Linked DNA regions of Mus musculus. The protein of the gene in region 7 binds, or shares a complex with, the protein of the main gene of each other region. Links are inferred from orthologs where the notes say so. Each region holds a gene or a part of one and is shown on either strand. Other genes may lie near its edges. The genes, in order: Pigh, Dpm2, Pigq, Pigyl, Pigc, Pigp and Piga.

What was found.
Region 1: Piga (region 7) and Pigh share a complex: the UniProt entries of both Homo sapiens proteins name them as parts of the glycosylphosphatidylinositol-N-acetylglucosaminyltransferase (GPI-GnT) complex. The link is inferred for Mus musculus from reciprocal best matches to the Homo sapiens genes PIGA and PIGH.
Region 2: Piga (region 7) and Dpm2 share a complex: the UniProt entries of both Homo sapiens proteins name them as parts of the glycosylphosphatidylinositol-N-acetylglucosaminyltransferase (GPI-GnT) complex. The link is inferred for Mus musculus from reciprocal best matches to the Homo sapiens genes PIGA and DPM2.
Region 3: Piga (region 7) and Pigq share a complex: the UniProt entries of both Homo sapiens proteins name them as parts of the glycosylphosphatidylinositol-N-acetylglucosaminyltransferase (GPI-GnT) complex. The link is inferred for Mus musculus from reciprocal best matches to the Homo sapiens genes PIGA and PIGQ.
Region 4: Piga (region 7) and Pigyl share a complex: the UniProt entries of both Homo sapiens proteins name them as parts of the glycosylphosphatidylinositol-N-acetylglucosaminyltransferase (GPI-GnT) complex. The link is inferred for Mus musculus from reciprocal best matches to the Homo sapiens genes PIGA and PIGY.
Region 5: Piga (region 7) and Pigc share a complex: the UniProt entries of both Homo sapiens proteins name them as parts of the glycosylphosphatidylinositol-N-acetylglucosaminyltransferase (GPI-GnT) complex. The link is inferred for Mus musculus from reciprocal best matches to the Homo sapiens genes PIGA and PIGC.
Region 6: Piga (region 7) and Pigp share a complex: the UniProt entries of both Homo sapiens proteins name them as parts of the glycosylphosphatidylinositol-N-acetylglucosaminyltransferase (GPI-GnT) complex. The link is inferred for Mus musculus from reciprocal best matches to the Homo sapiens genes PIGA and PIGP.

What each region holds. Positions count from the first base shown.
Region 1 is NC_000078.6:79,086,493-79,090,965, reverse strand, and holds the start of Pigh (phosphatidylinositol N-acetylglucosaminyltransferase subunit H), read left to right. Parts: upstream 1-1,346; coding exon 1,347-1,526; exon of another isoform or gene 1,527-2,261; intron 2,262-4,473. UniProt on the Homo sapiens protein: Part of the glycosylphosphatidylinositol-N-acetylglucosaminyltransferase (GPI-GnT) complex that catalyzes the transfer of N-acetylglucosamine from UDP-N-acetylglucosamine to phosphatidylinositol and participates in the first step of GPI biosynthesis.
Region 2 is NC_000068.7:32,569,287-32,573,882, forward strand, and holds Dpm2 (dolichol phosphate-mannose biosynthesis regulatory protein), read left to right. Parts: upstream 1-1,571; 5' UTR 1,572-1,623; coding exon 1,624-1,626; intron 1,627-1,919; coding exon 1,920-2,009; intron 2,010-3,010; coding exon 3,011-3,113; intron 3,114-3,672; coding exon 3,673-3,731; 3' UTR 3,732-4,285; downstream 4,286-4,596. UniProt on the Homo sapiens protein: Regulates the biosynthesis of dolichol phosphate-mannose. Regulatory subunit of the dolichol-phosphate mannose (DPM) synthase complex; essential for the ER localization and stable expression of DPM1.
Region 3 is NC_000083.6:25,925,597-25,928,984, reverse strand, and holds the end of Pigq (phosphatidylinositol N-acetylglucosaminyltransferase subunit Q), read left to right. Parts: intron 1-132; coding exon 133-194; intron 195-1,228; coding exon 1,229-1,381; 3' UTR 1,382-2,565; downstream 2,566-3,388. UniProt on the Homo sapiens protein: Part of the glycosylphosphatidylinositol-N-acetylglucosaminyltransferase (GPI-GnT) complex that catalyzes the transfer of N-acetylglucosamine from UDP-N-acetylglucosamine to phosphatidylinositol and participates in the first step of GPI biosynthesis.
Region 4 is NC_000075.6:22,155,549-22,159,104, forward strand, and holds Pigyl (phosphatidylinositol N-acetylglucosaminyltransferase subunit Y precursor), read left to right. Parts: upstream 1-1,297; 5' UTR 1,298-1,365; intron 1,366-2,183; 5' UTR 2,184-2,446; coding exon 2,447-2,662; 3' UTR 2,663-2,807; downstream 2,808-3,556. UniProt on the Homo sapiens protein: Part of the glycosylphosphatidylinositol-N-acetylglucosaminyltransferase (GPI-GnT) complex that catalyzes the transfer of N-acetylglucosamine from UDP-N-acetylglucosamine to phosphatidylinositol and participates in the first step of GPI biosynthesis.
Region 5 is NC_000067.6:161,967,669-161,972,158, forward strand, and holds the start of Pigc (phosphatidylinositol N-acetylglucosaminyltransferase subunit C), read left to right. Parts: upstream 1-1,519; 5' UTR 1,520-1,611; exon of another isoform or gene 1,612-1,701; intron 1,702-2,558; exon of another isoform or gene 2,559-2,571; 5' UTR 2,572-2,782; coding exon 2,783-3,676; 3' UTR 3,677-4,490. Other genes in the region: 4930558K02Rik (uncharacterized protein C1orf105 homolog), read right to left, coding at 243-328. UniProt on the Homo sapiens protein: Part of the glycosylphosphatidylinositol-N-acetylglucosaminyltransferase (GPI-GnT) complex that catalyzes the transfer of N-acetylglucosamine from UDP-N-acetylglucosamine to phosphatidylinositol and participates in the first step of GPI biosynthesis.
Region 6 is NC_000082.6:94,367,574-94,371,928, forward strand, and holds the start of Pigp (phosphatidylinositol N-acetylglucosaminyltransferase subunit P), read right to left. Parts: upstream 2,978-4,355; 5' UTR 2,858-2,977; coding exon 2,793-2,857; intron 2,758-2,792; exon of another isoform or gene 2,697-2,757; coding exon of another isoform or gene 2,620-2,696; coding exon 2,516-2,619; intron 61-2,515; coding exon 1-60. Other genes in the region: E3 ubiquitin-protein ligase TTC3, read left to right, coding at 3,353-3,398. UniProt on the Homo sapiens protein: Part of the glycosylphosphatidylinositol-N-acetylglucosaminyltransferase (GPI-GnT) complex that catalyzes the transfer of N-acetylglucosamine from UDP-N-acetylglucosamine to phosphatidylinositol and participates in the first step of GPI biosynthesis.
Region 7 is NC_000086.7:164,418,356-164,422,707, forward strand, and holds the start of Piga (N-acetylglucosaminyl-phosphatidylinositol biosynthetic protein), read left to right. Parts: upstream 1-1,424; 5' UTR 1,425-1,485; intron 1,486-1,512; exon of another isoform or gene 1,513-1,579; intron 1,580-4,228; 5' UTR 4,229-4,290; coding exon 4,291-4,352. UniProt on the Homo sapiens protein: Catalytic subunit of the glycosylphosphatidylinositol-N-acetylglucosaminyltransferase (GPI-GnT) complex that catalyzes the transfer of N-acetylglucosamine from UDP-N-acetylglucosamine to phosphatidylinositol and participates in the first step of GPI biosynthesis.

The DNA.
Region 1 (4,473 bases), on a different chromosome or scaffold from region 7:
AACAGTGGAAATAATTACATCATCAGAAGTATGATTGTCTGTGCACTGCCACAGTAGTGCTCCATCCATGCAAATATATGGTTGGCAAACAGCATCTATTAGTGGCTCCCCCAGTTACCTTTCCCTAGTGATAAGTACTTGAAGAACCAGCCTGCTTCCATATTAGGCTTGAAAGTCATCTTACAGTGAAGACAATCTAGGTTCATTCTTGTTTATGAGTAAACCTGTTTTTCAAGGATTGAGCTATGCCCCACCTGTGACCTTAACTACAAATGGTTCTGTACTGCTTGTTCCAAGAATGCAATCACGTCTTTGTTTCAAAAAGTTGTTTATAGTCATCTTGCAACCTGACCTTTGCTTCAAAGGGTTATATAGCTACCTTGTTAGGCCCATCTTTGCAACCTTGTGTCTCTGTTCCAGAGGGACTTACTTGCTATGCTTGTGTGCTGCTCCTATAACTATATTTTGACAGACAAACCCCTCATTTGGAAACCTTCCTATCCCTGAGCTATAAAAGCCTGCCTTCACATCCAAAGCTGAACCCCATCTCAGGAGGAGGCAGCCCGTGTATGTGAATTTTTAAAGCTTGCTTTAATTAATTTGGTCATGATGATTTGGGTGGCGGTCTTTCTCCTCTCGTTTTTTTTTTTTTTTTGGATTAATATACTCTTTAGCAGCTGAGCCATCTGCCCAACTCAAAGCCTACCTTCTCTTCCCATGCATCCTAGCCTTGCTAGTTTTTTGATTCCTGTGACTGAAACCCATTCCAGCCTCCAACTTTGTTTTTTCCTGGTCCTTCTTTCTGGAGACTACCCCCACCTCCACCCCAACTCCCCACAGAACAGTGTGGCCCTTGTAGGTTTAATGGCGAAGACCTTTAAGACCTTTACTTAAAGCTGCCCAGACCTTCTACTAGTCTGAACATTTTTGTCAATAACACTACTTAAGTTACGTCTATTTTTTTTTTTTTTTCCTACTAGGAAAGAAGCTATGTAGAGACAGAAATCTTCAGTACCTAAAATCCCTTCGCAGGGAAATGAATGAATGAATGAATGAATGGTTACACCTGCAGACCATTTTGGGGGAGTCTTTCTGGCGTAACAATATAAATGAGTCAGTCAAATGAACAGAGATCTTAATCTGCCCAAAACTGGTGCCGCGGTTCTGGGGAGTTTGGGCTAAGGATAAACTGGGAGAACTTGCTGCAAGTCCCAGCCCTGCTCTCAGTGAGCGACTACGGCTGCGCGGACAGGCAGGGCTCAGCCGCTTCCGGGATGGTCGGGAGCCAACGAGACTTCGAGCCTCCGGGTGGGCTAGAGCGGCGCGACATTCAGGTGTGTGCGGCCATGGAGGACGAGAAGAGCTTCTCCGATATCTGCGGCGGCCGCCTAGCCCTGCGGTGCCGCTACTACTCACCGTACTGCCGCGAGTTCGGCCTCAGCTCGGCTCGGCTGTCGCTGTGCTCGCTCACCGCGGTCACCTGCGCGGTGTGGCTGGCGGCCTACGGGCTCTTCACCCTGTGCGAGGTAAAGGCGGGCGCTCGGCCGGCGCAGGCAGCTTGGAGAGGTCTCGGGGCTGACCCGTGGGTCCGGGAGGGTGGGGACTCCCTGGATCAGGGTCGCCGTTCCACGGCAGGACTGCCCTCCCTCCCCGAGAAGTTTGTGCTTCTGGACGTTCTACCACAGTGGACCTACTTGCCCTGCTCATTCATGGAACATAACCTCCTCAGAGAACTCAGTGCATCCTCCCGCATCACTTACTGGGTACCAAAGCCAACGGATAGCAGGCGTGCGACAGAATTACAGAAAAGTTTTTGCCTCCACAACTGTGCAGTACAGAATCTCCACCTAATATCTGTTTCTCAAGGCCAGGTCAACTACCATCCCCTCTCCCAACCCTTCCCCAGTTTAAGTGCATTTTCTAAAGTGTTGCCAGGTCTAAGACACGAGGGTTTTCTATGCTCAGTTTTCAGACTTTCTAATCTTTTTTCCCCCCGAGCCTCATTTTTAACATCTCTAAGTTGAAATTAATGGTTCAAAATATTGCGAAGGTCAACTGCTATTATTTTGTGACAGTTCCCAAGCAAAAAGAGTCATCCGATTGGCCTTTGTTCAGGATGTTCTGTTCTGTTTTAACTCCCTGTATAGCCCTAAAATGAATATATTATTCCAGGAGTGATCTTAATAGAGCCAGTACACCAGAACTGTTTATTTCTGCAATTTTCATATTGTTTGTATTAAAACATCCCTTAGCTTTTTTCTATTCTTTTGCTATTATTATTATTCTTACTTTGTCTGGACTGGAAGGCTCTATGTGGAGCCTGCCTCTGCCTCCCTAGGGTTAGGATCAAAGGTGTGTGTCATCATACCTGGTTCAATCACATTTATGCTATCAAAGTGTGTGGCAGAGCATCATAATTTGCACAGATTTTCATAGATGAAGTTAAGTCCCCTCACTGAGGGTCTGGGGAATGAATGGCTCATCAGATGACTGCAGCGACTGCCAAACCTGACCACCTAATGCCAAACCTGACCACCTAATGCCAAACCTGACCACCTAAGCCGAATCCCCAGAACCCACATGATGGGAGGGAAGAATGGATTCAAAAAAATTGTCCTCTGACCTCTGCACAATAAATAAATATAAATAGTAGGGGCTGGTGTGGTGGTGCACACCTTTAATCCCAGCACTAGGGAAACAGAGGAAGGAACATCTCTGAATTCAAGGCCAGCCTGGCTACATCAGTCTACATTACCAGCTCCAGAACAAACCAAGGCTACACAGTGAAACCCTGCCTCAAACACAACACAAATAGTATTTTTTAAAAGACTCCTAATCTTTACCAATTTATATTTAAAAGTGTCTTCACAGGTCAGTTGAAGTTATTAAACTGACCTAGTCCTTCCCCAAAATTTTTAATATAATTGGATTTTTATTCTTTTTTGGGGGGATGGGGAGTGTTGGGGTCTTACCATGTAGCCTTGGCTGTTCTTGAACTCACTGTATAAACCAGGCTGGCCTGTAACTCAGAGATTCACCTGTCACTGCCTCACAAGTGCTGTTGTTAAAGGGATACATCACCATGCCCAGTTGAATGTTAATGCCAGCCTATGTTCCTGATACCCGTGCAGTTATCTGCTGAATTTCTTATTTCAACCCCCCGGGGGGGTTCATAAAGAGTAATACTTTAATAACCTTGACATTGATAAAGTGACAAAGCTGGGCTTCCAAACTGGAGCTGCCTGACTTTGAAATCCCTTTCCATTGTACTTTGGCCTCGCAGATCTCAGGCAGTTGCAATTGTTACTGGTTGGTTTGTTCAGAGATACAGGGTCTTGCTATGTAGTTTAGGCTGTCCACACACTCTGCTTCGTCCTGGTTCAGCCCCTGTGAAGGCCTGGGCTGACAGGTGAGTGAACCACACCCAGCTCAGAGCTGTTCTGTCAGTTCCCTACTGCACTCATCTCTCTGGCATGGACACCCAAATGTCCCCCAAATGCACAAGTAATTGTGCTCTCTTCCATTACTTCAAGACTTCCCGAGGCCTCTGTGTGCAAGAGTTCAGATCTCTGCTCCTATTCAAACTCATTCATGGAAAGAACTCTCAAAGGACTCCTTCAGATGTGTGGCTCAACCCTGACTCAGATGAGCGGTGTGCATCCTTAGAATTTTGGCCAGGAAAATGGACTTTGAGGCAGATTATCTTAACAGAGGCTGAGTGGGTAACATTCCCTAAGCATTCATTGTTCTTCAGCCTGTCATCCCCTGCTTTTGATCGGTTTAGTTAACATCACTCCAATCTGCAGTGCAGTACCCTTTCAGCAGAGTGCACCTGTCAGCATGCACTACTTCTCTGCACCACCTGGGTCCTGAGGCCTTGGAAGTCTTTATGGAACAGCTGTGTGCATTGATCTATCTCTCTGTCTCCCTCTCTTCTTTTTCCCTCTCCATCATTTTTTCCTTCCTTCCCCCCTTCCTCTTCTCTTTCTCCTCCCTCTGACACTTTAAAGTCAGTAACACAGTATTCTAGACTTTTGTTTTTTAATCATTCTTGCAACCTGTAGAGGGCTGAGTTTTACCTTGGCTTTCTTCCACGGTGCTTATTTAGTTTGCACTGCTTGCAAGACACCACCCTGCACCTGAAGTTAATTAGCAGAAAGTAGCTGTTTCTGGGTCATCAGAGGCCCTGTTCTCACTCCTGCTTACCAGCCAGAAATAATCATCTGAACGGAAGTCATCAAGCTCTTTCTTTAAAAGGCCAAATTAATATTTTAGGCTTTGTGGATCCCTGTCCCATATTCTTTTGTCCTTTTATTTAAAATTTATGTGTATGGGTGTGTTGCGTATATGTCTGTACATGACATACATGCCTTGTGCTCAAGGAGGTGAGAAGAGGGTGTCAGGTCCCCTGGAACTGGAGTTATAGACAGTTGTGAACTTCCACATGGGTGTTAGAATATGAACTCAGGTCTT
Region 2 (4,596 bases), on a different chromosome or scaffold from region 7:
CAAATGAACACTGGTGGCAGCCAGAGGCTAAGAGCCTTTCCTCCTGCGCTCAGTGATCCCCACGGGTGCCCAGAGCACCTGGACTTCAAATTCTATATACAAAGATAGAGGATATATTAGAGGTATTTTTGAAAAGGAATTGGTCTATGCAATGCCAGTTTGGGACCTGTAAGACAGTTTAATGTTTCTATTAGAGAGATATAAAAGATCTGCAATATTTTTAGGGTTCTTTTCTGGTTACCCTACAGCTGACCACGTGGTCTGGCAGGATGAGCAGGCCCATCTTCTTCTGTGGGGAGAATTTGCTTTTGTGTTATTCCTTTCTAACCAGGTTACCACTGCACCCCATTCCGTGGGCTGTTCATATCTGTCTCAGCTTATAATAGAAAATTATGTCATATGGGGAAATCAGCCTAGTGTCAATGTTTGGTTTGGGGGTGGAATTAAATGCCGATGTTTTTGTTACTGCTTTTTGTTGGTGTTTCTTTTCATTCTCATCACCGTGTTGACTTGGGGGCTGCTAACAGGAGTTAGCCATGTATGTGTAAGATGACATGCTGGGGAAAGTAGGTTAGTGTTCTCCAGTCTGACCCCAGTCATAATGCTCACCACAAACACACACATACATATTACATATATGTCCACACATGTTTGTATGAATATGAATGGGCACTTGACAAAGGTCGGAGAACACCTGTTACTCCTGAACCTCTTCTTGTTTGAGACGGTGTCTCACTCTGGTTTTGGGGAAAGAATAAAACGTTTTTATTTGGTATTTATAAGGTTTCCTTTAGCCATGAGGTTTAAGGAGACCTACTACTCCTCATGCCTCCAGAGTGTTGGGACTACAGAAATGCACCACCATGCCCAGCATCAATTCGGGGATCTTAAAGCCCCACTTTTGGTCCTAATCATCGAAGAAACTGGTTAAAAATACCTGTCAGGGCACAAAGAGGGAGCTGTTGCCTCTGGTTGCAGAAATGGATAACCTGCATGGTGTAGCATTTGGAGAAGAATGGATCTACAGCAGCTAGCCCCATATGCCATGAGAGTAGTGTTCTGGGTGAGAAACAGAAGAAAAGCATGAAAGATAATTTGGCCCAGCGCCCCTTGGTTCTAAGAGGGCCATTCTGAAACCTCTGGCAGTGGACAATGAAGGGAAGCCTAGAAAGTTCCCTAGGAAGCCAACCAGTGGAAATTCTCATAGGCCAGGCCAGTGGTGGTCATTCTATACAGACTCTTCCATTAACAGTTTCAAGGCCAGAATGTAGAGCCTTTGAATTCTGATGTCTGCTTCAACAACCAACTCATTATGATCTATCCCTTTCCGGGACTTCCAACTCTGGGGTACATCTCACTCTGGCTTGGGACTGTAGGATAATGTTTAAATGATTATTGTTTGGGAAGGGTCTGACAGGGATGTAGCCACAAAAACCTGAAAGTCTGAGCTCCCGGCCCTACAGTTCCCTGCAGAAACTACATTTCCCGACATGCACTGGAGGGCGGGGAAAAGTGCCCGCACGTCAGCTCAGACGAGTCTCCGCGTGTCACGTGATTTACAAGCCGGAAAGGCCTAAACCAGGAACCGGATGTATTTTGTTGCTCCGGCGGAACGCTGGAGAGATGGTGAGCCTGGGGTGGAGTACATGTGTGATTTGAGGGTACCAGGGGTCGGGGCTCTGAGTAAGAGTCTCCTTGGGAGATGGAGTTGGGCTCTCCAAACCCAGATCGCTCTCTCCACCGCTTGCAGACAGGTGACACGAGGCCTGACGTGGCTTTCTAAACCCGAGAGCCACTTCTAGTAAGCCCTCCGTGGTTCTAAATGAATGAGAGGTTTGGAGTGTAAACCGGCTGCTCCGACCCTCCGTTAGTGCTTGTACACGAGCCATCTCGCCTGCTGAGCCTTTATTTTTCTCCAGGCCACCGGGACAGACCAAGCAGTAGGATTTGGCCTTGTCGCCGTTAGCTTGATCATCTTCACCTACTACACCACTTGGGTGATTCTCTTGGTATGTGTGCCCCACCCCCACCCCGCTCACCTTCATTTTGCTCTGGATCTCTAAGCCAGTTTCCTAACGCGACTTAATCAGCGTCTGTGTGCCAGCGTCTGGATGTTTAGCTAGCTCTAATCTCACGAAATCTACACTATGGTGCTTGCAGATGGTGTCTACATTTTATAGATGAGGAGGCTAAGACTCGGGGAGAAGGCTGTTTCTCAGCCTCTGAACTGCCGCACAGTGAGGCTTTATTTTGTGTTTGTCCTCCTGGTTAGCCAGCAGGTTCCTGGGTGTAGCAGTCGCCGGTGGAGTTTATTAACATCTCAAGTCTCTCTCTCTCTCTCTCTCTCTCTCTCTCTCTCTCTGCCTCTCTCTTTAATGTGGGAAATTTTGTTAGTTATTGTTTTAAAGTACACTGTGCTTGGAAAGGGGCATCTTGCAGTACTTGGTATCCTTCAGAGAGGAAAGTTAGGTGGGCTGACCTTCGGTGATGAAGAGAACTGGCTGATTCTCCAGAGGACTGGGGTTCAAGTTCCAGCACCCACATGGCCAGCTACAACCATCTGTAACTCCAGCTCCAGGAGACCCAGCAAAAGTCCCTGGAACGGAACGCCATTGCTGCTTAAGTTGTGTTAGGAGTTAGATTGGAGATCCAGGGCTTGGATGAAAGTACACCTGGACTCACAGGCACAAATGCATGATCAAAAAATAAAGACCTCTTTAAAAGACCTAGAGTTCTCAGAAGGCAGAAGAAGGGGGGAGGGCAGCTTGGTGAGGTCAGCCAGGGCCTCAGAAATCAAAAAGGATGGTTTCCAGCACTCACAAGGCCCAGGCAGTATTCAACAATACAGAGACAATATGGTGGGTCTCTTGTTATGATACATATCCACGCTTGGGGATGCTATCAAGGTGGGCCCTCAGTATCCAGTGCTGCCAGGGGGAGGTGGGACGGCTTCCCTTTGGGGCTGAGTAAGGTGAGCAGTACTCACCAGAGCTCTTGCCCTTGGTGCCAGCCATTCATTGACAGCCAGCATGTCATCCACAAATACTTCCTGCCCCGCGCCTACGCCGTCCTCCTCCCGTTGGCCGCAGGCCTCCTGCTGCTCCTATTTGTGGGTAAGTCTCCCGATCTGGGGCAGGGTGTCTGGAAGGCAGCGTGCTTCCACATGCTGGCACCTGCTGTACATCTGCTTAGACTCTCCTTGTCACCAATGCTCCCCGGGGCTTTCCTATTCCTTAAAGGCCACGGGCAGAAGCTCCTCTAGTGGTGTTCCCAGTTTTCAGGTTCCTGGGGCAATGAGGACATGGCTCCCCTTTCTTTCCTGTCTCAGCTTCATCTTCATCTCTTCAATGTTCCTGCCTCAAGTCACCCTGGCATCTCTTACGGCTCTGTGGGTTGGGAACTGTGTCTTTGCTGTTACGCTATTCTAAGCTCTAGCCCAGGAGCCTAAAAGAGTGCTTGGGTTGACTGAGGAACCACATGGCCGGATGATGCACAGGTGGTTAGCCTTGCACCATTTTGGTGATAGTTAACTGACCCTCAGTGGCTGTGTGACCTAGTGAATGACTGCAAAGATGCACCCCTAGGGGGGTTGGTTGGGAGCCTGACCTTGCATGCCTGGCCACCTAGCTTCCACTCCAATCCTCCCAGTCCCTCCTATTCTGTGTATTACAGGATTGTTCATCACCTATGTGATGCTGAAGAGCCAGAAGATAACCAAGAAGGCTCAGTGAAGGTCCAGCAGGGATGAGGCTGTAGGGGCCTTCTCCATATCTCCTCCAGAAAAGGGACCAAGGGTCACAGCTTACAAGATGGTCAAGCTGGCTGCACTGCAGCCCTCTTTGGGACATGGGGCTGTTTTCTTCTCAGTTTGACAACCTGGAGCCCTCTCTCTCTTGGTCATCCTTTTAGAAGCCAAGAGAAAGGTGGGTTGGGAAGCCTCTCACTTCCCTTAGGCTCAGAGGCTGAACATTGCTGGTTGGTCCTGTCCATCTCACAGTCAAAGCTCCCTGTCCCTTCCACCGAGTTCTCTCCTCTCACCTCTGTGCTCCTCCCACTGTGCTGATGGATTGAGCAGGCCTTCCCGCCTCTCTGTACAAGTCCTGTCCCGTCACAAGGCAGCTCTTCCGAGTCTGACACTTCCCAGGCTCCATGAGGACTTCTGGACCCAGGAAGCCCTGGGGAAAGACTGACAAACCCCAGAACCACAGGGTTACATCCAGGCAGCCACACTAGACCACAATTGGCCTGTTTGGGAAAACTTACAAATAAATGTTAATTGCGTTGGTGTTTGTCTCTCTGCCATCCTTGCTCTGGGGAAACTGGCTAGAGGAGGCTCAGATGCTACTGAGTTGTGCAATGAGGGCACCTCAGGTTGTACATTTGCGATGTCCCTATGTCAGACACAGGGTAAAACTGGAACTGGGATAGATATGATTCTTACTCGGGAAATGTCACAGCGGAGAATCAGAAGCCTGGCGCATCTGCTAAGGCCTAGTGTAGCCCAGTCTGACATTAAACTACATAGCTGAGGGTGGCCTTGAACTTCTGATCTTTTTGACTCTATATCCCCAAGGTTAAGATACCACATGTCATGAG
Region 3 (3,388 bases), on a different chromosome or scaffold from region 7:
TGCTCAAAGGGGCTAGAAGCATCCGAAATTGCCATCTACAGCAGCCTCTGCTGACCCATAGCGTTCTGTGGGACCAGTGAAAGCTGATTGGGTATTGCCACCTTCCTTCCTAAATCCTTTGCTTTCCTATAGCTGGTGTGAAGTTCAGAGTTCTGGAAAAGGAGGCAGGCAGACCCCTCCGCCTCCTGATGCAGGTAAGAACTCTCTATGCTTCACTGCTACTCGGACCCGGGATCCCCACCTTCCATCAGACTCCCCAGTGTCCTGGGACAGCTGGTGTGATACTGTGGTGTTAGAGCAGCCAGAGGTCACATAGAGGTAGAAGGACCCAGTGGAGCTAAGGGATAGGTTCCCTGGCATCTGAGCACTATAACTCACTGTCTGGAGCCTCCCCAGCAGAGTTATGGCTACTTATTGTGATCTACATAGTTGATATCTAGTCCAGCCTGTGGGTGGAGTGCCCATACTTGGCTAGAGACATCATGAAGCTGCCCTGAGTCCCATAGTGCTCAAGATTGTGATAAAACAGAAATGACTTTACAAAGGCCTCATGACAAGTAGTCATTTCCTGTTGGTCTTGAACCCTTGACTCTTTCAGTCACAGATTCCAGTCCCCGTGAAGGGAGCAGAACATGTTTTGGGGTGACTTGCCAGGTATTGAGTTGTACCTTGGTCCAAGTCCAAGACTCTTAGATGCAGAAGCATCTGGCATGATCTCCTCCTCCTCTTCCTCCTCCTCCTCTTCCTCCTCCTCCTCTTCCTCTTCTTCTTCCTCCTCCTCCTCCTCTTCTTCCTCCTCCTCCCCCTCTTCCTCCTCTTCCTCCTCTTCCTCCTCTTCCTCCTCTTCCTCCTCCTCCTCCTCCTCCTCCTCCTCCTCCTCTTCCTCCTCCTCCTCCTCCTCCTCCTCCTCCTCCTCCTCCTCCTCCTCTTCTTCCTCCTCCCAGAAGCCTAGAAACAGAATAGATTCTAGGATAGGGCAGACACTGAACTCCCCTGCCATCATTCCCTCCTTAGGGGACCAAAGTGCTATATGGTTGCTTCTCTAAGGATAGATAGCATGGCTATTCCATAGGCAAACATTTGTCTGGGTTTGCCCTACATTTGTCTTGCTAAAGATTCTCTAGAGAGCCAGTCAGGCCCAGGGTGCCAGCCCTCAAGAGCTTCTTCTGTAGACACAGCTGAAGCACCCAGGACCACTACCCTACTGATATCTCCCCTGCCCTTGCAGATAAACCCCCTGTCCTATAACCATGTGATGCACATCTACCGTCTGCCTCGCTGTGGCTGCCATCCCAAGCACTCCTGGGGTACCCTGTGCCGAAAGCTGGTCTTCGGAGAGCTCATCTACCCCTGGAGGCAGAGAGAGGACAAACAGGACTGAGGAGCTGGACACAGCCTACCCATAGCTACTGCACAACCATCACGCCTCCTCTCTGCCAGGACAGCACTGACCACGGGGTCATCTCAGGTCCCACAAGGGCCAACCAAACACTCTGTGTGCTGAATGTAGGCAGGCCTTACCCTTGAGTTACTACTTTGCTCTCGGACCCTGCCAGCTTCAGTCCTGCACTCTATCTAGCACAGTGGTTCTCAACCGTCCCAAAGCTGACCCTTTAATACAGTTCCTCATGTTGTGGTGACCCCAACCATAAAATTATATTCATTACTACTTCATTACTGTTAATTTTGCTACTGCTATGAATCATGATATAATATAAATATCTGTGTTTTCTGACAGTCATAGGTGAACCCTGTGAAAGTGTCATATGACACCCACCCCAAAGGGTTGAGAACCACTGCTCTAGTATCACCTATGTAGGGACCCACATGGTTTTTGTAGTCATTACAGTGAGCCTGATTCCTAGGAGTTCCCGGACCCCGTGGGATATGCTGGCAGGTGCTCTTGGCTGCTTTATTGGGTGGGAGCACTCCTGGGCACCTGGTGTACTTCATAAGCCTCCGCAGAACATTTCCATTGGGAAACAGGCAGCTGCTGATCCCTTAGCCCCTCGAACTAATCCCTCACCCTGTACTTCATTGGGCTTACTTGCTACTCTGGAGATTGCTTTGTGAAGTTGCTGTTAATAGGCCTTTGGGTACCCTTTGCTTGAAGTTATATCAACTGAGGTGATTGGATACCTGCCAACCTGGCTAGTGCTCCATGTATGAATAGGCCCTTTGGCAAAATATTCTATGTTCTCTTATAGACTCCTTATGGGACCAGATAGCTTCCTTCTGGACAGGCACTTCATGGCTCATTGTGTGAATGATCTTGGGGTGGTGAAATGGCCAGGGTTGGTTCCCTAACACTTAGTGGGACCCCATGTGAGCTAGTCCCTAGGGGGCAGGAAACCTCACTGCCTGAATTGTCTACTGTGGGCAGGAGGGGACAGCCGGCCCAGCCTGTCTTTCAGGGGCACTTGGGACTATTGACATTGGTCTGTCTGTGCCTGCTTCCTCTTGCTATAGGTCACAGCCACTCTTAAGCAGCCAGTGGAGGGTTTTGGTGAAGATGAATCCTGATCCTGTGATGACAATAAAAATCTCATGAATCTGGAGTACCAGCTTGGGTGTCCTGCTCGTCTGGCCAGGCTCTAGGTGGGTGGGCTAGGTGGGGCACTGGGTTACCCCAGGTGACTATCATCATTTCCTGCCTAAGGCCTCTGCAGAGGCTCTGCTGAGTTGCAGCCCTAGGTACTTGAAGACGTCATAGATAGGTGAACAGAGCTAGAGCCTCAGTGCCTCTGGCCATAGTTTCACCCAGATTCCGGGAGCTGGGATACAGTCTGGAAGGGCTGGGGTTGTCTAATCTGGGCTTTGACTATGTGGATTCCAAACAAAGCAGAGCTCTGCCCTGGACTGACAAGTTTCTCTATGTAGTCTTGGCTATCCCAGAACTCACTCTGTAGACCAGGCTGGCTCACACACAGATCAGCCTGCCTCTGCCTCCCTAGTGCTGGGACTGAAGGAGTGTGCCAATACCACACATCTTCAACTGACTCTTAGCATCTGCAGTCTTCAGATGCCTCCAGGCCTGTCATCCTGGTTATGAAGAAGGGTCCCTCAGTTGCTTTCTAGCCTGGGACTCCACAAAGGATCAGTATAAGCCAACTGGGGAGTGCCATAGGGCCCTGTGTGACCCTGTGCCCAGAGAGAGCCTGCTGAAAATGGCTGTCACATGCAATACTAGGTGCTCCACTCTAGGCAGGCCTTCCACTTGTCTCTTGGTCCCTTTGGACTCAGCAGCACACGGATTACTACTTCTGTGCATGCATTTTTCCCTACTCTGCCTGGCCACCCTTACCCATCCTTTAGCTTCCTGCTCTCATCCTTTCACTCCTGTACTCACATCAGGCAGAGCTTCTGACCTCAGCCCAGCTGGCCCTGT
Region 4 (3,556 bases), on a different chromosome or scaffold from region 7:
TGTAGTGAGTGCCTTTACCTCTTGAACTATCTTGCTGGCTATTTTTTGTTCCGATTTTAAATTTTTAAATTAAAAAATGTTTGTTACTTGCTCTGTGTAAACCATAGGATGGTTTGTCCTCAGCTCTCTCCTGCCACCTTGTGGTTGCAACAGAAGCTGCACGGACTCTATACCACTACTTACCTCTGAGAAGAAAAACTTTCTGATCTTTTAGCTTGCGGGAAGATTAAGGGATGGAGCTTCCTGTGCAGTACTGTGCAGAATCCTAGCTCAGCCTCATTTTTCTTTACGCTGGGATCAGAGATAACACTGCCTCACTAGGCAAGGCAGTGGCCGGCCCCGTGGACAGCATTTACGAACACCGTCCCTCCCCCCAACCCCAAGGCACACACACTCATCGTCTTACTATGTAGTCCGGATGACCTGGAACTTGCTATGTAGACCAGGCTGGTCTCGAACTCACAGAAATCCGCTAGCTTTTGCCTAAGGAGTGCTAGGATTAGGAGTGTGCTTGGCTACATTTTCTCTTAAAACTTCATTTTGCACTTTTTGCGGGAGTACACTCAGGTGTGCCACAATACATGTGTGGAGGTCAGAGGAAAATAGTTCTCCACCATGTGGGTACCGGAAGGTCGATCTCAGGTAGTCTGACCTGGCAGGAAACGCCTATACTCGCTGAGCCATCTCATCAGCACAAACTATTATTTTGCCATTTACCGATTCATACGTAAAATAATGTATCAGTCATCTTTCCGCTGCTTAAGAGGATAGATGATAGTGGCTGAGGCCAGGTGCGATTCAGGATTCAAGTTTATCAATTAGAAGTGGGGAAGGCAGCCGGGCATGGTGGTGCACGCCTTTAACCCCAGCAGAGGCAGAGGCAAGTGGATTTCTGAGTTCGAGGCCAGCCTGTTCTACAGAGTGAGTTCCAGGACAGCCAGGGCTGTCTCGAAAAACCAAAAAAAAAAAGTGGGGAAGGCTTTTCAGTGCAGAAAGACCCCACTGTCTGCTCTGGAGCGCCATGAATAAACTGTGGCAAATACGTTCCTCTCCTACTTCCAGCAGGACTAGCATAGGGGACGCCCAGCCAGAGACGATGGGATCCTTAGCTATCCGGTGCTCTCAGAGTCTTTCTGGCCTCACCCGTCAATCAAGACCACGGGGGCGGAGCCTGAGCCTGGGAGCGAAGGCAAGGTGAACTGTCCAATGAGCACGCGCGGACCGGCTCCATCGCGGGATCTGGGTTCCTCACCCCGCCCCTGCAGGGATTTGATTGGGCGGCTGGCCGGGCTGTCCCGCCTTCGTGGGGCGGTGACTGTCACCGCCAGGCGCCGAAGGGACCGGACTCCTACAGGCCTGCAAACGGTGAGTTGAGGGTCTCGAAATACGAGCGGAGGAGCTGTTGAAACCGGCTGGGGCGGGACTCGCGCCAGCTTGGCGTCTGCGCCATGGACGCCGCCGACTCCGTTTGTCTGGCTGGTTCGTTTTCGGTTCGGCCGGGTTCCCCCTGTCCTGTCTTGCCCCGCTCGGCTCGGCTCGGTTTTCTTCGGCTCGGCTCGGCTCGGCTCGGCTCTGTCCCTCCGTCGGTCAGAGACTGCAGCGGGCTCGTTGCCCCTTCTGGTCCCCGAGGCGACTGCGCCCAAGGGATGGCGCTGTCTTCGGTCTGTGCATTGACCGCGGGTGGCTCGTGACCTGGCCCCAGGTTCTGGTGCTGGTTCCCAGCCAGTCCTCGTATAGAAAGCCTCACTCAGATGTCTGAAGCGAACCCGGATTTGTAGGTCGCATTCCGCTTCCCCAGTTCACAAAAACATTATCAGTCCACCTGTCCTTCATTCTGTTTTTCAAATTGCTTACTTCCCAAAGTAATTCATGACACTTGTAGTGTTTTAAGCATGGTCTGGCAGCCGTTCTTTTGTCACTGCCTCCTCAATACTGATACCTCTGATGGGGGTCACTATAGGCAGTTTTGGAGGACACTCCTTTTTTTAAAGGCTTCTTTCTAGCCGGATGTGGTGGCTTGGGGAGGCTGATGCAGGAGGATCACAACGTTCGAGGCCAGCCTGCCGGTTCCAGCAATCCTGTCTCTAACCTACTCAGTGCTGGTACTGGCTGCTTCCCCATCCTTTCCTCTCCCTTCCCGTCGCCTGCCCTTCATCTTGTCATCTTGCATTTTTCTCATACAGTTAAAAGACCTCTCGCCTGCGCTGCGAGGGACACAGGTGGTGTCTGCAGTCGCTGGTAACCGCTGCGTGTGACGCGGAGGCTGAGGAGCCGGCACCTTCGGCCTGGGACCCCTGGACTTTCTGCGTGCCCTTGGGAAGCATGCCTGGGTGAATGAGGAGTCGGGACAAGGGGAAGATAAGACAAGAGCGCACCCGCACGAGAACAGAACTTTTCAAACAACTGAGTTTTCTTGAGACAGTTAACCTTTTAAGAAGGGAGGAAGATGATCCGGTCCCTGCCCACCATGACCGTCCTCATCCCACTGGTCTCGCTGGCAGGCCTGCTCTACTCCGCCTCCGTGGAGGAAGGCTTCCCAGAGGGCTGCACCAGCGCCAGCAGCCTGTGCTTCTACAGCTTGCTCTTGCCGGTCACCGTGCCTGTGTACGTGTTCTTCCATCTGTGGACATGGATGGGCCTGAAGCTCTTCAGACATAACTAGGGGAGCCGAGGCCCCTCCTGCTCGGGCTGCCTGCGGAGTGGGGCATGGCCGGAGGTTCCTGGCTGTTGCAGATTCTTTTGTAGCTGAAAAATACTTTTCAATAAAATGTCTTATGGGAGAGGAACACGACCAGCCTTCATCCAAAGACTGTTTCTTCTAAGATTTGTTCTTAATTGTGTGTCTGTGTGTGGGTATGCGCATGTGAGTGTGGGTGCCCAAGGAGGCCATGCAAGTGATGGGTCCCTGGAGTTGGGGGTACAGGCAGTTGTAGGCTACCGGAGCTGTGTTCAGATCATCCATAAAGGATGCGAGTTCATGTTCTTAGCCCCTGAGCCATCTCTCTGCCCGCCTATTGCCTTCTCATTTAGTTCTGGGGAACCTCAAGCTGTGAGAGGCAGACCTTGTCCTCCTTACCTTCCTGTCTCTACCTCCTGAGTGCTAAACTTATAGGCAAGAGCTCCACATCCATTCATGTGGTGCTGGAGGAACCCAGGGTTTCAGGAACGCCAAGCCAGCACTCTGCCAACCAAGCACCCAGGCCCTAAGGACTGTCTTTTTTTTAGCCCATTCATTTAAAAGTTAGTTGTTTGGAAGCCAGGCAGTGGTGACACACACACTTGGGAGGCAGAGGTGGATCTCTTGAGGGTCCAGGCCAGCATAGTGAGACTGTCAAAAATAATTTGGGATTTTGTTTCCGCTTCAAGGTCAATGGTGAAGTGTTAGGTTTGACTCCTCCCAGAGGAGCTGAGTGGAGTAGTGCCATATATAAAAACCAATATCTGGAAGCTGGACATACCAAGCCTGGGTCTGCGGCTGGGCAGATGGCTCAGCAGTTCCTTGGACCAGCTGCTCTTAGTCCCCAGGTTGGTGACTCACGACTGCCTGTAACTCCAG
Region 5 (4,490 bases), on a different chromosome or scaffold from region 7:
CTGTGGTTGAATAGTACACGCAGAAATGAAGGTTATGGCGGCTCTCATTTCTTCTAGCCAGGCCTTTACATAGCATAACCTTTGTCTGAGAAACCCAGGGCGTTTCTTTCTTTTTTCTTTTTCTTTTTCTTTTTTTTGCATTCGACTTGGTTTCTCAACAGGGCACATGCACCTCTCCACCTTAAGAGTACAACCACTGAGCTCTGCCTCGAAGGCTCTGTCCTCAGAAGCTGGGAAGTTACCTTCTGGGGATGCTCAGGATCAATGGTTTGTTTACCAGGCTGGCCTCACTCAGCCAAGGAATCTTGTCAAACTTTGGAACAAAAGCCTACAGAGAGAGAAATGGAAAGAGATCAGGTTGCAGAGTTTATCACACTTCCGAAGACTAAATCTTAAAGGGAGTCACAGGGCCAGAGAGATGCCTTGGTGGCTAACAGCACTCCTTCCTCTTGGAGAAAAGCCAGGTTTAGTTGACAGCACCCACAAGCCAGCTCATGACTGCCTGTAACTATAGCGGCAGGGGACCTAGCACCTTCTTCTGACCTCCACAGACACCTGGAGTCAGGAGCACATATGTAGACATAATTAAAAACAAAATATTAAAAAAAAGTTAAAATACTTGACCAGTGCTGGTATTACAATAAGCAAAGTAAGCTAACAGCAACCACACAGCAATCAATACATTGCAAACTATTTTAACACGAGAGTCCTCCAACCATTCCATAAGGTGGCCAAGAACAAATAAGCGCCTTCTTTCTTTTACAGACAAAGAATTCAAAGCCCAGATAGTGTGAATATGAATAAATGGGTTCATGCTTTCTGCCTCTGTGTCCACACTATTTAACAGTCTCTATATTTTAAATTCTTCGAGCTTCCATCTATTTATAAATCCTGTGACACTTCCAAGACCCCAGTTGAAAATCAGCAATCTCTCGTCCCAAAGGCTCTCCACCCTCATCTCTTTTAGGTGGCAAAGTCTAGGAAAGGATCCAGCTTTGGAGCCATCCACATTTGGATATTTCTGATCTACTTGCAATTACTAACCAGCTGCCTGACTTTGGTCAAAAACAAACTAATGATCGCATCGTCTCTGTGCAAGTCAACGCACAGGATGCTATGTGAGATCTGGGATCTCCCCGACTCCCCCCCCCTTTTTTTTTTTTTTTTTTTTTTTTTTTTTTTTTTTTGGTGAATACCAGAAGCCTGGTTTGGCACCTATAGGAGGAGGGTTTGGATGCATGGAAAGTCCCTTGGCTGAGAGCCTGTCAACACATGTCATGGTAACCTTGCAGTTACCAGTCTTCCACCAGCCCCGCGACTCTTCCTGCCTTCTCCTGCCTTCCACACCCTGTGAAGTAATTCCCACTGAGGGATTTGCTTCCCAGGCTTAGCATTCCACTAGGAGCAGATTGCCAGGAGAGGAGCAATCAGTAGAGGGCAGCAGTGACCTCGCGGTGTGGAGTCTCGGGGCGGGACGCTTTGGCCGCCGAGTGCTGCGGATCCGGAAGTGCTCCTCCACAGTAGTCCCCTTCCAAGCCGGCGTCCCGGATGTAGAAGTAGCTAGGCGGCCGCTCTTCTCGGTCGTGCACCCCCCTAAAGAGCTTGGTGCAGGTGGGTTCCGGCGTCCTTCGCTGTGAGCGCTTCCGGCTGATCCAAGGCTGGGGCGGGGGTCGGCAGCGGCGGGCGGGGCAGGCCGGTTGGGTGAGTGGTAGCCCAAGACCCTTCGCCGCCCGGTGACGGGGACCTTTCAAATCCCGAGGTCCCAGTGCGTGAGGGCCGACTCCAGGGTGTACGGCTTTTAAAGCAAAGGTCTATCCTAGCCTCCACGAAAAATACAGACGGTCCGGCAGGAAGTTCTTTCTCGAATTTGCTGAATGACCTCTGTGTTTACGACTGGGATGATTGTTTTCTTGATCCTGCGCTAGAGTTTTGCTGTTTCAGTTAATTAGGATGATATAGCACTTTAAAGGATAGTAAGTTCAGCTAATGAACAAAAAAGATTTGAGTTCTTGGTTTGGGCTAAAACTATAGAGAGATCATGCCCTTTTGTACGGTGCAGGTTATTGTCATTCGACCGATAACTTATTCAGATACCTTTGGGGACCTAGTAACGGCTATGGATGGATTCTGTCCCTATAAATTTGCGTAAGTTGCAAATATAATCATGCAAAAATAGTATAAACCTTAGAGTGTATGAATGCCCAAGTTAAGACTGGCTTAGAGAAGGACGACCAGAAGCAGAGACTTTGACACTAGACTTTTGTAGGAGGTCTGGCTCCACGCTGTTAGCCTGGGACCTAAATACTCTACTGTTTTGAAACTCAGATGTCTTATTAGGTAAACTCATAACTGGTATTAACTTGTAAGGCTGTGACAGTTAAAGAAGGTGCATAAGACATTTAACATTCTGAGTTAGATGCAGATATCAATTATTAAGACTACACTTTAAAATGTGAAGGCTTAATGCCGCATTATGTCACCAGACACAATTTATCTAGGCTTTCAGTAAGCCAAGTTGTTTTTTATTGTATCTGATGCCAGCTTCCATATATTTACAGTTCTCTCTTCTAGGAATTTAGCTGTGTTGTCCTGACCCTCAGGACAAACTCATCTAATGCAGGCTCAGCTTGTACTGAAGGCTTTGTAAACAAGGAAAGTTCTGTAGGGTATCAGCATGGCATTTCCAGAGAGTTCTTAATCTACAGATTTATCAAGAACCAGAACCCCATGGACGTCCCTGAGGGAGATTGAGCCAACCTGGATTTGAGGAAAGAATGAGATAATGTGTGCTCAACGTGTAACAGACACCCCAGAAGTCAAGTGGCAGAAGGTTTTATATGAGCGGCAGCCGTTCCCTGATAACTATGTTGACCAGAGGTTCCTGGAAGAACTCCGGAAAAACATCTATGCCCGGAAGTACCAGTACTGGGCTGTGGTATTTGAGTCCAGTGTGGTGATACAGCAGCTGTGCAGTGTCTGTGTTTTTGTAGTGATCTGGTGGTACATGGATGAGGGTCTTCTGGCTCCCCAGTGGCTTTTTGGGACCGGACTGGCATCTTCCTTGGTTGGGTATGTTTTATTCGATCTTATCGATGGAGGTGATGGACGGAAGAAGAGTGGGCGGACCCGGTGGGCCGACCTGAAGAGTACTCTGGTCTTTATCACTTTCACTTACGGTTTTTCACCTGTGCTAAAGACCCTGACGGAGTCTGTCAGTACAGACACTATCTACGCCATGGCAGTCTTTATGCTGTTAGGCCATCTCATCTTCTTTGATTACGGTGCCAATGCTGCTATTGTATCCAGCACCCTGTCCTTGAACATGGCCATCTTTGCTTCTGTTTGCCTGGCCTCACGCCTCCCCCGGTCACTCCACGCCTTCATTATGGTGACGTTTGCTATCCAGATCTTTGCACTGTGGCCCATGTTACAGAAGAAACTGAAGGCGTACACCCCGCGAAGCTATGTAGGGGTCACTTTGCTTTTTGCCTTTTCTGCCTTTGGAGGTCTTCTGTCCATTAGTGCTGTGGGAGCCATACTCTTTGCTCTCCTGCTGTTTTCCATCTCCTGTCTCTGCCCTTACTACCTCATTCATCTGCAGCTTTTTAAGGAAAATATTCACGGGCCTTGGGATGAAGCTGAAATCAAGGAAGACTTGTCTAGGTTCCTTAGCTAATCTAGGGACCTTCATTTCATTATTAAGACCAGCGGAAAGACTTCGAGCCTAACCGGTGCAACATTTAAAGGCAGGGGTCCACTCTTGAAGCAGCCGACTGATCTAGATGGTAGAGCTGAGATCAGAAGAAAGCATTTAACCAAGGGCTTAGGGGAGGGTGCTTGTCCTTCAGTTATTTTGTGACTGAAAAAGCTTTCTGGTGCTGTTATGAATTATTGTCCTTTATTCCCTGTAACAAATGATGTAATGTGGGTTCTGCTTATTAAAAAAGTAATATCCATTGCATTGTCTAGTATTTTAAAAAAAACAAAACAAGGAAACCCTTATTTATGTGTGTATAAGAGAGGGGGTTTGTCTATTTCCAGTATGTATGTCCCACGCATCAAATTCAGGCCCTGGCAACAGGCCTTTACCAGCTGAGCCATCACACTGGCCCTGTCTCATTTTTATGAGAGCATAAGACAAAAGTAGTATGAAGGTGTGTGTGTGTGTGTAAAAGTGTAATCAGTTGTTTAGCCTTTTCTGTGTATACTAAGGGACACCTTTATATATCTAGAGCCCAAATTTGAGAATCCCTGATGGTGGCATCCAGTTTGTTGTCCAATACCACAGAAGTGGTCACTCAAGGAGAGCTACATGCCATAGAAACAAAACGTTAGCGATATGAAAGAGGCTGGAGGGTGAGTTCATCTCAGGCAGTTAGGAAACCAGAGGTGACATTTAATTTACTCGTGGAGGATAGCAGGTGAAAGCCTTTGAGAAACAGATAGGTAATACTAGTGAGAATGGAAAACTATGGACCAAGCAAGTGTGC
Region 6 (4,355 bases), on a different chromosome or scaffold from region 7:
AAGTTAAGCCTAAGGAGTTTAACCAAGATTCGGGAACGAAAGCCCACACAAGATAAAGTACTGCAGGGTAGAGGGTAAGGGGAGAGAGAAGACATGTTAGTGAGGCATGGTCTAGTCTGTAAGGTTCATATACAATAAAGATGCTCCCCAAAGGCCTGCCTCACTCTCTCAAAATTCAGGATCTGTAGCTCCTTATTTGTACCAGTCTTAGAATACTTACCATAATTACCATATTAACACGTTTTTAGTGTCTTAGCTTTTATACTGTACTTTAAAAAGTCTAAGGCTACCACCCAGCACTCCCAGAGACTAAACCACCAACAGAGAGTTTACATGGAGGGATCCATGGGTCCAGATAAGTATCCTGCAGAGATTGGCCTTATCCGACATGATTAGGAGGGAAGGTCCTTGGTCCTGTGGAGGCTTGATGCCCCAGCATAGGGGGATGCTAGAGTGGTGAGGCAGGAGTGGGTGAGTGGGTGGGGGAGCACCCTCATAGAGGCAAAGGGGAGGGGAGAGAGGAGGGATGGGATGGGGGATTTGTGGAGGGGTAACGGGGAAGGGGGATATCATTTGAATTGTAAGCAAATTTAATGATAATTTAAAAAAAGTCTATGGACATATTTCTTAGGAACTTATTGCTAGAATTTGCTCCTGCATTTTACATGCTCATTGTTTCTCCATAGGGAAGAAGTAATTACTTAAGAAGTAGTTGCTTAAAGGGAACTTGTCACCTCTGGTTCTGACTGTCTATGTACAATCTTCTTTCTACCAATACCCAGTCTTGTAGGCTCCTTTTCTGCTGTCTCCGTGTTTTAACAATAGATTCTAAACTTCTCCACATGGACTAACTCGTTTAATCCTCAAAACAGTCCTGAGACGCACATGTATATTTTTATACACAAGAAAGGACTCATTTGTACAAAGGAAGTGGTGGAGACAGGTTTCAGGCTACATCAGCAGTGGTGGGTTTTGTCTTAAGAATGAAGTGTTACAGAGCTTTGTATGCCAAGACTGGAATACAGTAACTCCTGAAGAGATGGTTTGTGCTTTCTGTAAGCTTCTGGTGCCGAACAAAGATGCTTACAGAGATCTTTTCCTTTCTGCATGGTAAGTTGTAGTATTAAAAGATAGCACACAGCAGCACAGCACATGAGGAGGGCTCTTCCTGCTCCTTAATCTCCTCCACCCTATCCCTGTTTTGCTTCCTGGATATGTTTTACTTATCTGTCGTCTCCAAGTATGCAGAAAGCTCAAATGAAGGCAGACAAGGTTTGGTTATTTTACCTTTCCCTGGCCTCTAACACTGTCTGATACATAGTAAGTGCTCAGTAAATTCTTCAATTAGGTTTTGGTTTATCTAACATGCTTGTAGATTCCAATCCTTAAAATCCTCTTTGAATAGTAATTTATAGAAATAAAGGGCAGCTAATGTTTATTAAGCAGCTTCTTTGCATAAATTACCCAAGTTAATACAAGAGTCAAAGGACTTCAGTAGAGTGAAGTCTGCCAGTATACCTGTTCTAATTCCAGTCCTGTTGCTATTTGGCTTTGATCAAGTTACTTAAATTCAGTATTCCCATCTTTAAACTGAGGAAGCAAGGCAGCACCTACTTCACAGGTTCACTTCATGCAAAACACAAAGCTCTCAGGCCAAACAATGATTCCACGAAAGAGCCAGTAACTGTAGCTTCTTCATCCCACTACACTACAGCTAAGCTAGTACTTTTCACTTAAGAATTGGGAAGGATACCTCCACATAGACATTCTGATTTCTATCAAGGACCAGGTTGGATTGTGGGCATTCAATTTTCTACCACTTGATTGCCTCATATCTTCCAAACTATTTGAAGAGGGACTTTGGTTCTGTTTGTTGAGTTGGTCATATTAAGTTTGTTTTTGTTCTTTGTTTTTGTTTTGTTTTGTTTTGTAAGCCTCAGTGGCCTCATCTACAAAATGGAACATTGTGGGCATTAATGCAGATCCCAGACGTTAAGGGTACATTCTTACACCTGACTTCTCTGGCCCATTATCTTCACTCTTCAGCTACAGCATGCTATCCTGGAGCTATAAGCATCTCACTTCCAAACCTTCACAGGCCTTCACTCAGAGACTCTATCCATGGTCCTTCCTGACTTATTCTGATAGAACTGCCAGGGAGTGGCCTGGAGGTAGCTAACCCCAATTTCTAAACCTTCCAAGGCTCTTCCAGGGCACTCATCATGCTCTCTGAACTGTGGGTTTACTATGCTTCTCCACATGACTATGACCTCAAGGATTGGGGCCAGGTTTTATTCACATTAGCATCAAGCCTAGTGCTAAATAAATATTGGAGAGTTCATCTAGAACTGCATACATAAACTGAGCAAACAAACGGTACCCCTTTTAGGACTCGTGAAGAGACACAGGTAGAAAGAATCAACAGTTCATGTGTGTACGTTCTAAGGACAAACACATTATTTCCTGGTTCTCAATACCATTAAGGGCCTTGGCCATCCATCATTCCAGTACTTACTGAAGCCAAATTGTGAGCTTAGGAAAAGAACAAAGCCATAAATCGCTCTTTCTGGCAATGGCGACGGTGAATTTTCCACCATCTTCCCTGTGGCTTTAGACAATCTGTGGAAAAGGAACACAATCGTCGTCAGACATCTCCCCCCGCCCCCCTTCACCAATGGTCTGTTACATAATCTCATCGCTTGCTGCGGACACAGCCACTGCGGATGTTCGCGCGCGCGCGCCACTGCAGCTGAGGGGGCGGCGGGAGCGCGCGCTGCGGGGAAAATGCGCACCTCGGACCCTCTGAGGCGAGGAAGGGGCCCGGGCTGGACAGAGGCCCCGAGTCCTGCCCTCTCATGATGGGCCCTGTCCCAGCCTTCGTGAGGCTCAGAGGAAACAGGAGGCCCGGGACCTTGAGTCCTGCGAGCACCGACGCCCACCCGTCCCCACCCTTCAGCCCCACTCAGTCCAATGCGCAGGCGCGGCTCAGCTACCCCCGCAGCGTGGGCGGAAATTAAAAAAAAAAAAAAACCTGAGGAAAAGCAGAGGCTGGCAGGCGCCCCCGCCGCTTGGCGCAGGCGCACCGCGACCGCAGCGAGGGGGCTAGCACGGTCTCACCACCCACCCCACCGAGCTGAGGGGGCGACGCGGCGACTGCGCATGCGCACCCTAAGCCACGTGACCCGCCCGCCTCAGGAGCCGCGGAGCGTTCGCTCTGCGGGTCTGGTTGACGTGGAGGGCCGGAGGCGTCGGCAGCCCGCGTCTGAGGCTCGCGGGCTGCGGGCCCGGGTGAGTGCAGACCCTGCGCGCGGCGGGGCTCACGGAAGCGTCTGCGCGTCCCGCCGCAGCCGAGATGCCCGGGCATCGGGGCGCTCCACACCTCCCTCCGTGGGTGTGTGGTGAGTGTGGGTGTGCGCGTCGCCGCGCGTCTCGCCGAGCGCCCGCGCGCTGAGGGGGTGTGGCCGCCCTTGCCCTTGTGGGTGTGTTCCCTTTGTCCAGTGACCCTCGGGCGTCCTTAACGGTAGAAGGGGGGTCTTTTGTGTGCGCGTCGCCTGGCGTGCGGGTGACATCCCGGGTCAGGTACCCGTTCCCGCGTTCCGAGCGCTCGGGGACGCGCCTCTGGGTCTGCGGCTGGCCCGCTTTGTTCCTACGCTCTCCCTTCCCTACGACGGCGTGGGCGTCCTTCTCATCCTCTGAGGATGGTGGTTCCCCTCCCACCTTTGTCACTGCCTTCCCTGTGGTGTGCGCGCCCCCTCCTCAGCACCCGCGCGCGCCCGCCCACCCGCCGCTGCGGCAGGCTGCAGTGGCAGGCGCGCGCGTGCGTCCTCGAGGGTCCCCAAAGGTGCGCTGTGTAGGGGCCCTGTGGCGTGCGCGGGGTTGGAATTGCGGTGACGCGCGTGCGCGCTGCCCCTGGTCTGTGTGTGCGCGCCTCTCCCCCCCACCCCCACCCCCGTTTCTGGGAGGACCCGGGAGGGACGCAGAGCTGCCCCCCACCCCACCTCCCCACCTGCAGCCTTTTCCTACGCCTGCGCAGGGCTGCTGCTCCGCAGTGCTGGCGACGTCACTGAGGCCTGGGCTGCCATCTCCTATTGGGGAGGGGACAGACTAGGGGGGTGGGGGGACAAAGGACCAAAATGAAGCCGAGGGTGTGTCGGTACCACTGCACGGTACCTTTCTCAGAAGCTTGTAGTTTCCAGACGTCCTTCAGTTTGCAAATTCTTTCCACCGTTTGTGCTTGTGCCTCTCACCAGGCGATGGCTAACACTGGGTATTGCAGGGTGTTTATAGCAGCCTTTTAAAGCTCTGGACTCTGGCGAGGGATCAAGGGAACAGGGTTGAAATCATACAGGTTTTAC
Region 7 (4,352 bases):
CTTTATTTGACATCTTTTCTTTTTAGACTATTTGATAGTACAACTGGCATTGGCTGCCTTCATACCTTATCATCAGAATATCCAGCACAGCAATATTTTAGTCAAATTCTAGTGGCTTCCAAGAACGTTCTCTAAAGCAGTGTTTCTTAACCTTCCTAATGCTGTGGTGTGATGACCCACAACCATAAAATTATTTTCTTTGCTACTTCATAACTGTAATTTTGCTACTATTATGAATCGTCATGTAAATACCTCCTATACAGGATACCTCAAAGGGGTCCTGACACACTGGTTGAGAGTCTTTGAAGGCATGCTTTGTGGTCGTTCAGGCAGAATACTACAGTTCAAATCTGCTACAACTTTTTTGTTTTGTTTTGTTTTTCCAGACAGGTTCTCTGTGTAGCCCTGGCTGCCCTGGAACTCATTCTGTAGACCAGGCTGGCCTCGAACTCAAAAATCTGCCTGCCTCTGCCTCCCAAGTGCTGGGATTAAAGGCGTGCGCCACCACACCTGGCACAACTTTTTGTTTTGTTTTAGAAAATACCCTTAACTTTACCACAAGCTTCAAGTGGATGCCAGTCATGGTGATGGTGTTGTTGCTTAGAAAACAATTTATTCTAGAAAATGCAGGAATGGCCATGCTGGGGAATCTGCAGGTACCAACTATAAAGAGCAGGTGACTATTACAACAATCGAGAGATTCTGTCTTCTTGGCCAAGCACAATCTGGCTCCAGACCGCAAGACAGTTTTGGCTGAGGACTGCAGCAGCTTGAGCGGGAGCGTTTCAGGTTATACCTAAGATTCCCTGACACCCCCCCCCCCCCATAGAGTTGTAAGACAAAAACAAAATCTGAACTTTTAAAAGGAAAGTCCTCAGTCTTTAGGACACGCACAGATATGTAGATCTAAGATTCAAAGTTCAGAGTTTAGTTTTGACTTGCTGTGATTTTTCTTTATTTTTGTACTTTTATGCATCACATTTAGCAATCCTGCCAGAATAACAAGAATGGATGTGGTTGGTTTGGCTGTGGTACCATACTGACTAGAAACGCCCTGGCCTTGATTTCCCCGCCCCCTACCCTGCCCTTCCTCTTATCCCCGCCCTCCCCGCATTCCCGCTCCTCCCCCCAGCCCCCGGCCCGGCCCGGCCCCGCCTGGTCTCTCTAACCGGAAGGAGGCGGGGAGAGACCGGGCTTCCTGAAAAGAGACGCAGTAACTAAGCAACCAGGGCACTTACGCCCGGGACCTTCCGCAGCTCTTAGGAGACGTGCTCCTGCGCTCGCTGACGCTACAATCCCGCGCTAGAGACTTGGGCCCGACTGGGCGTCTCTCTTCTACGTAATTCAGAACCTCTGTGTGATTGGTTATCATGGGGGCGCGGCGCTCGGATCGCGGACGCTTCTGATTGGTGCTTTGGAGCAGCGGGGCGGGATTCTGTTAACTGCCGCGGGAGGTCCGGACAGTGGCGGCCATGGGACTGGAGGGTAAGTACGCGTCTTGGCTGTCCTTTCTAACGTTCTCGGTCTCTCTGGATGGGGTTGTGCCGTTCTCACAGGACCGTGGCAGGCTGTGGAGGAGGTGAAGCCTACTCTATCTGAGGCCCGGAAGTCGGGTCCGTGGGTCTCCGTAATCAAATGGGGATTGAGGGTGCCTTGAGGGTTGGAACTGGTTCTTAGACTGAGTTTAGTAGAGCGAGTGACTGGAATCTTAGGACGTTTTTCCGAGTCCCTTTGGGTCTGGCCGGATCTTGTCTCATCCTGGGGTGCTGGCTGGTGGACCCGGGCTGATCCTCTTTGGCTCTAGTACACCCGAGCTGCCTCTCAGGGAGTGCGTGTGCACTGCCTTGGGACTGGATTAAAGTATACTTCTCTTGATTTCTCAGCCCTGTCCGAGCCCCCTCTAAGGATCCTCAGAAGCTTCTACTAATAAGGGAGTTCCCTGGGCACGATTGAGAATTTTGAGGACTTCTTGACTTTGTCATTTACATGGCTTGGGTAGGGAAGTTGTACAGATCGCTTAGCATGTAGGGCTGGAGAGAGAATTGACCAGATTTTACAGCCTCTATTCACTTATAGAAGCCAAGATTCAGTGAGTATTTTCACATACTTTCATTTGGTTCATTATTTCTGTTCTTATCATTCACTTCTTAAAACGGGATAGGACTAAAGGACCAGGTTTAGATGACACATGACAGTAGCACAGCATTAGCCACTTGAGGCTTTGCTTTCCCCTTTTGCAAACTTCATATTTTCTTGCTTCCATTATTTGTTTACTTACTGGTTGTAAATTTGGTCTTCCCTCCTCTTTTTTTCCAGTTTATGTGTCCGGGTGCCCCCATGTAGCTGTCTTACCCTGCCCTAGAACCCTCAATTCTCTGTCTCCCAAGCACGTGCTCCTTTCTTTCCTGCCTCCTCCCTCTGAATTTCTGAGACGATTTTAAATGTAGGTGAATTTGTGGGAGAAAATGGACACATGTAGTTGCAGGTGAGAGCTGAAACTCAGAGAGTTAGGATAGTAATCCTCCATTGAGTTCTTTGTAGACTTGTAGATCTCAACTAAGGCGGATTTTTGCCAGATCTCTAAAGCTGTGGCATTAAAAGTCTAAGCATCTATAGAACAGAGTATTGAATGAGCACTTCATATGAGCATCACTTTAGGGAACTCCTAAAGGGAACTTTTCTTAGCCTTAGATGTAGGAAAGAGCCCACATGTAAAGCCTGTGTCCTGTTCCATTTCCTTTCAGGGTCTACACTGAAAGGGTGCTCAGGGGAAAGGCTTCCATAATTAAAAGAAGGGTTCTGAAAAGAGAAGGGAGCAGTTTAAGCATAGCTATCCTTGAATAAGGAAGGAGAAGCCAGATTGTCTTCAGCATGAGCTCTAGGGAACACTTGAAGAGGGTGTTCTTAAAAAGAAAGCTCTAGTTCCAGGTACATTTTAAAGGAAACCACAGAGATAATACCAGCAGAGCCTTATGGGATGTACTGGGTCACTAGCTAAGCTGTGCAGCCCTAATCAGCACATTTTCTGTGAAGAACCAGATGGTAAATATTTTAGGCTCTGTGGGTCATCTGATTTCTTTCAAAGCCACAGAAGTAGCCATTCAGAATATAAGTGAATGGGCAAGCCAGGTTCCTGTAAAAATTTGTTCGTAAAAATAGACAATGTGCCAGTATACTTAGATTCACATCCTAGCCTGTTTTAGTATCCTTTTCTGCTTCACAACCCAGAACAAAAGGCAGTGCTATAAAACAGCCTTTTTGCTATTTTTCATGACTCTGGAATCTGCTAGACTTAGCTAGTGGTACTTTTATGAGTCTTTTCAGGGGTTTCTGTAGAAGGCTGCATTTAGCTAGAGGTCTGGCTAGAAATTGGGCGCAGGTAAGAATGTAGAGGTGGCTGGGTCCCTATCTCTCCATGTAGCTTGTAAGCCCTTTTCCTCTCATTGTCTCCCCCATGTCCTTCTAACCTAGTAGCTGTATGATAACTCCAGAAGTAAAAGCCATCGAACCTTTCATAGGCTGAGGTCAAAGATCTGCATGTCCCTTTTACCATGTCCTGTGGCTTACATGGTCCCAGTGCAAGGGAGATTCCTAGGTGCAGTGGTGCACACCTGTAATCCCAGCCCTCAGGAGACTGAGGCCAGGAATATTGAATTCAAGGTCAGCATGAGCTATAAGCTAAAACTTGGCTTTAAAAGTATGTGGGAAGGTATGGTCGCTAATAGCCTGGCACATTGTGTTCTAACTTCTTTAAGCTTTTGGCTTTGCATTTACACTATATAATTGATACCTTGTATAGGTCTGTCAACTAGACTATGGCCACATATAGAAAACTCTTAGTCTGTGTAGTGTTGGATAGATAGTGATTTAATAGGTAAGAAAGCTTAATAAGCTGATAAGAGTGATAAGAGAAGCAGGGAAATGGATGTTTAATTTTTTGAAAGAATTGGTTTTGTAGCAAACCATTATGCACTGTGACACAACGTTTAAAAGTGGACCAGTTTCCCAGCTCAGTTAACACATTGCAGAATCTCAGTTCTTTTGTCCTATGGCATCACCCTGCTAAGCAAGTAGATGTTCTCAAATGAATACGTTTATAGTGTGCTTTGCTTTTATTTCTAAGTGAAAAACTTTAAAAATATGCCTTAACATTAAAACTATTTCTAACAGGATTTGAGGTATGAAAGGAGATGCAGTTTTGAGCTGATGTCCTGCTTTTCTCTTTCAGGTGACAGAAGACACATTTCTTAACTGGCTTGCTCTGAGAACTGATGCTTGGACCACCTCAGCATGGCCAATAGAAGAGGAGGTGGGCAAGGCCAGCCTCCTTCAGTGTCGCCTTCCCCGGGTAG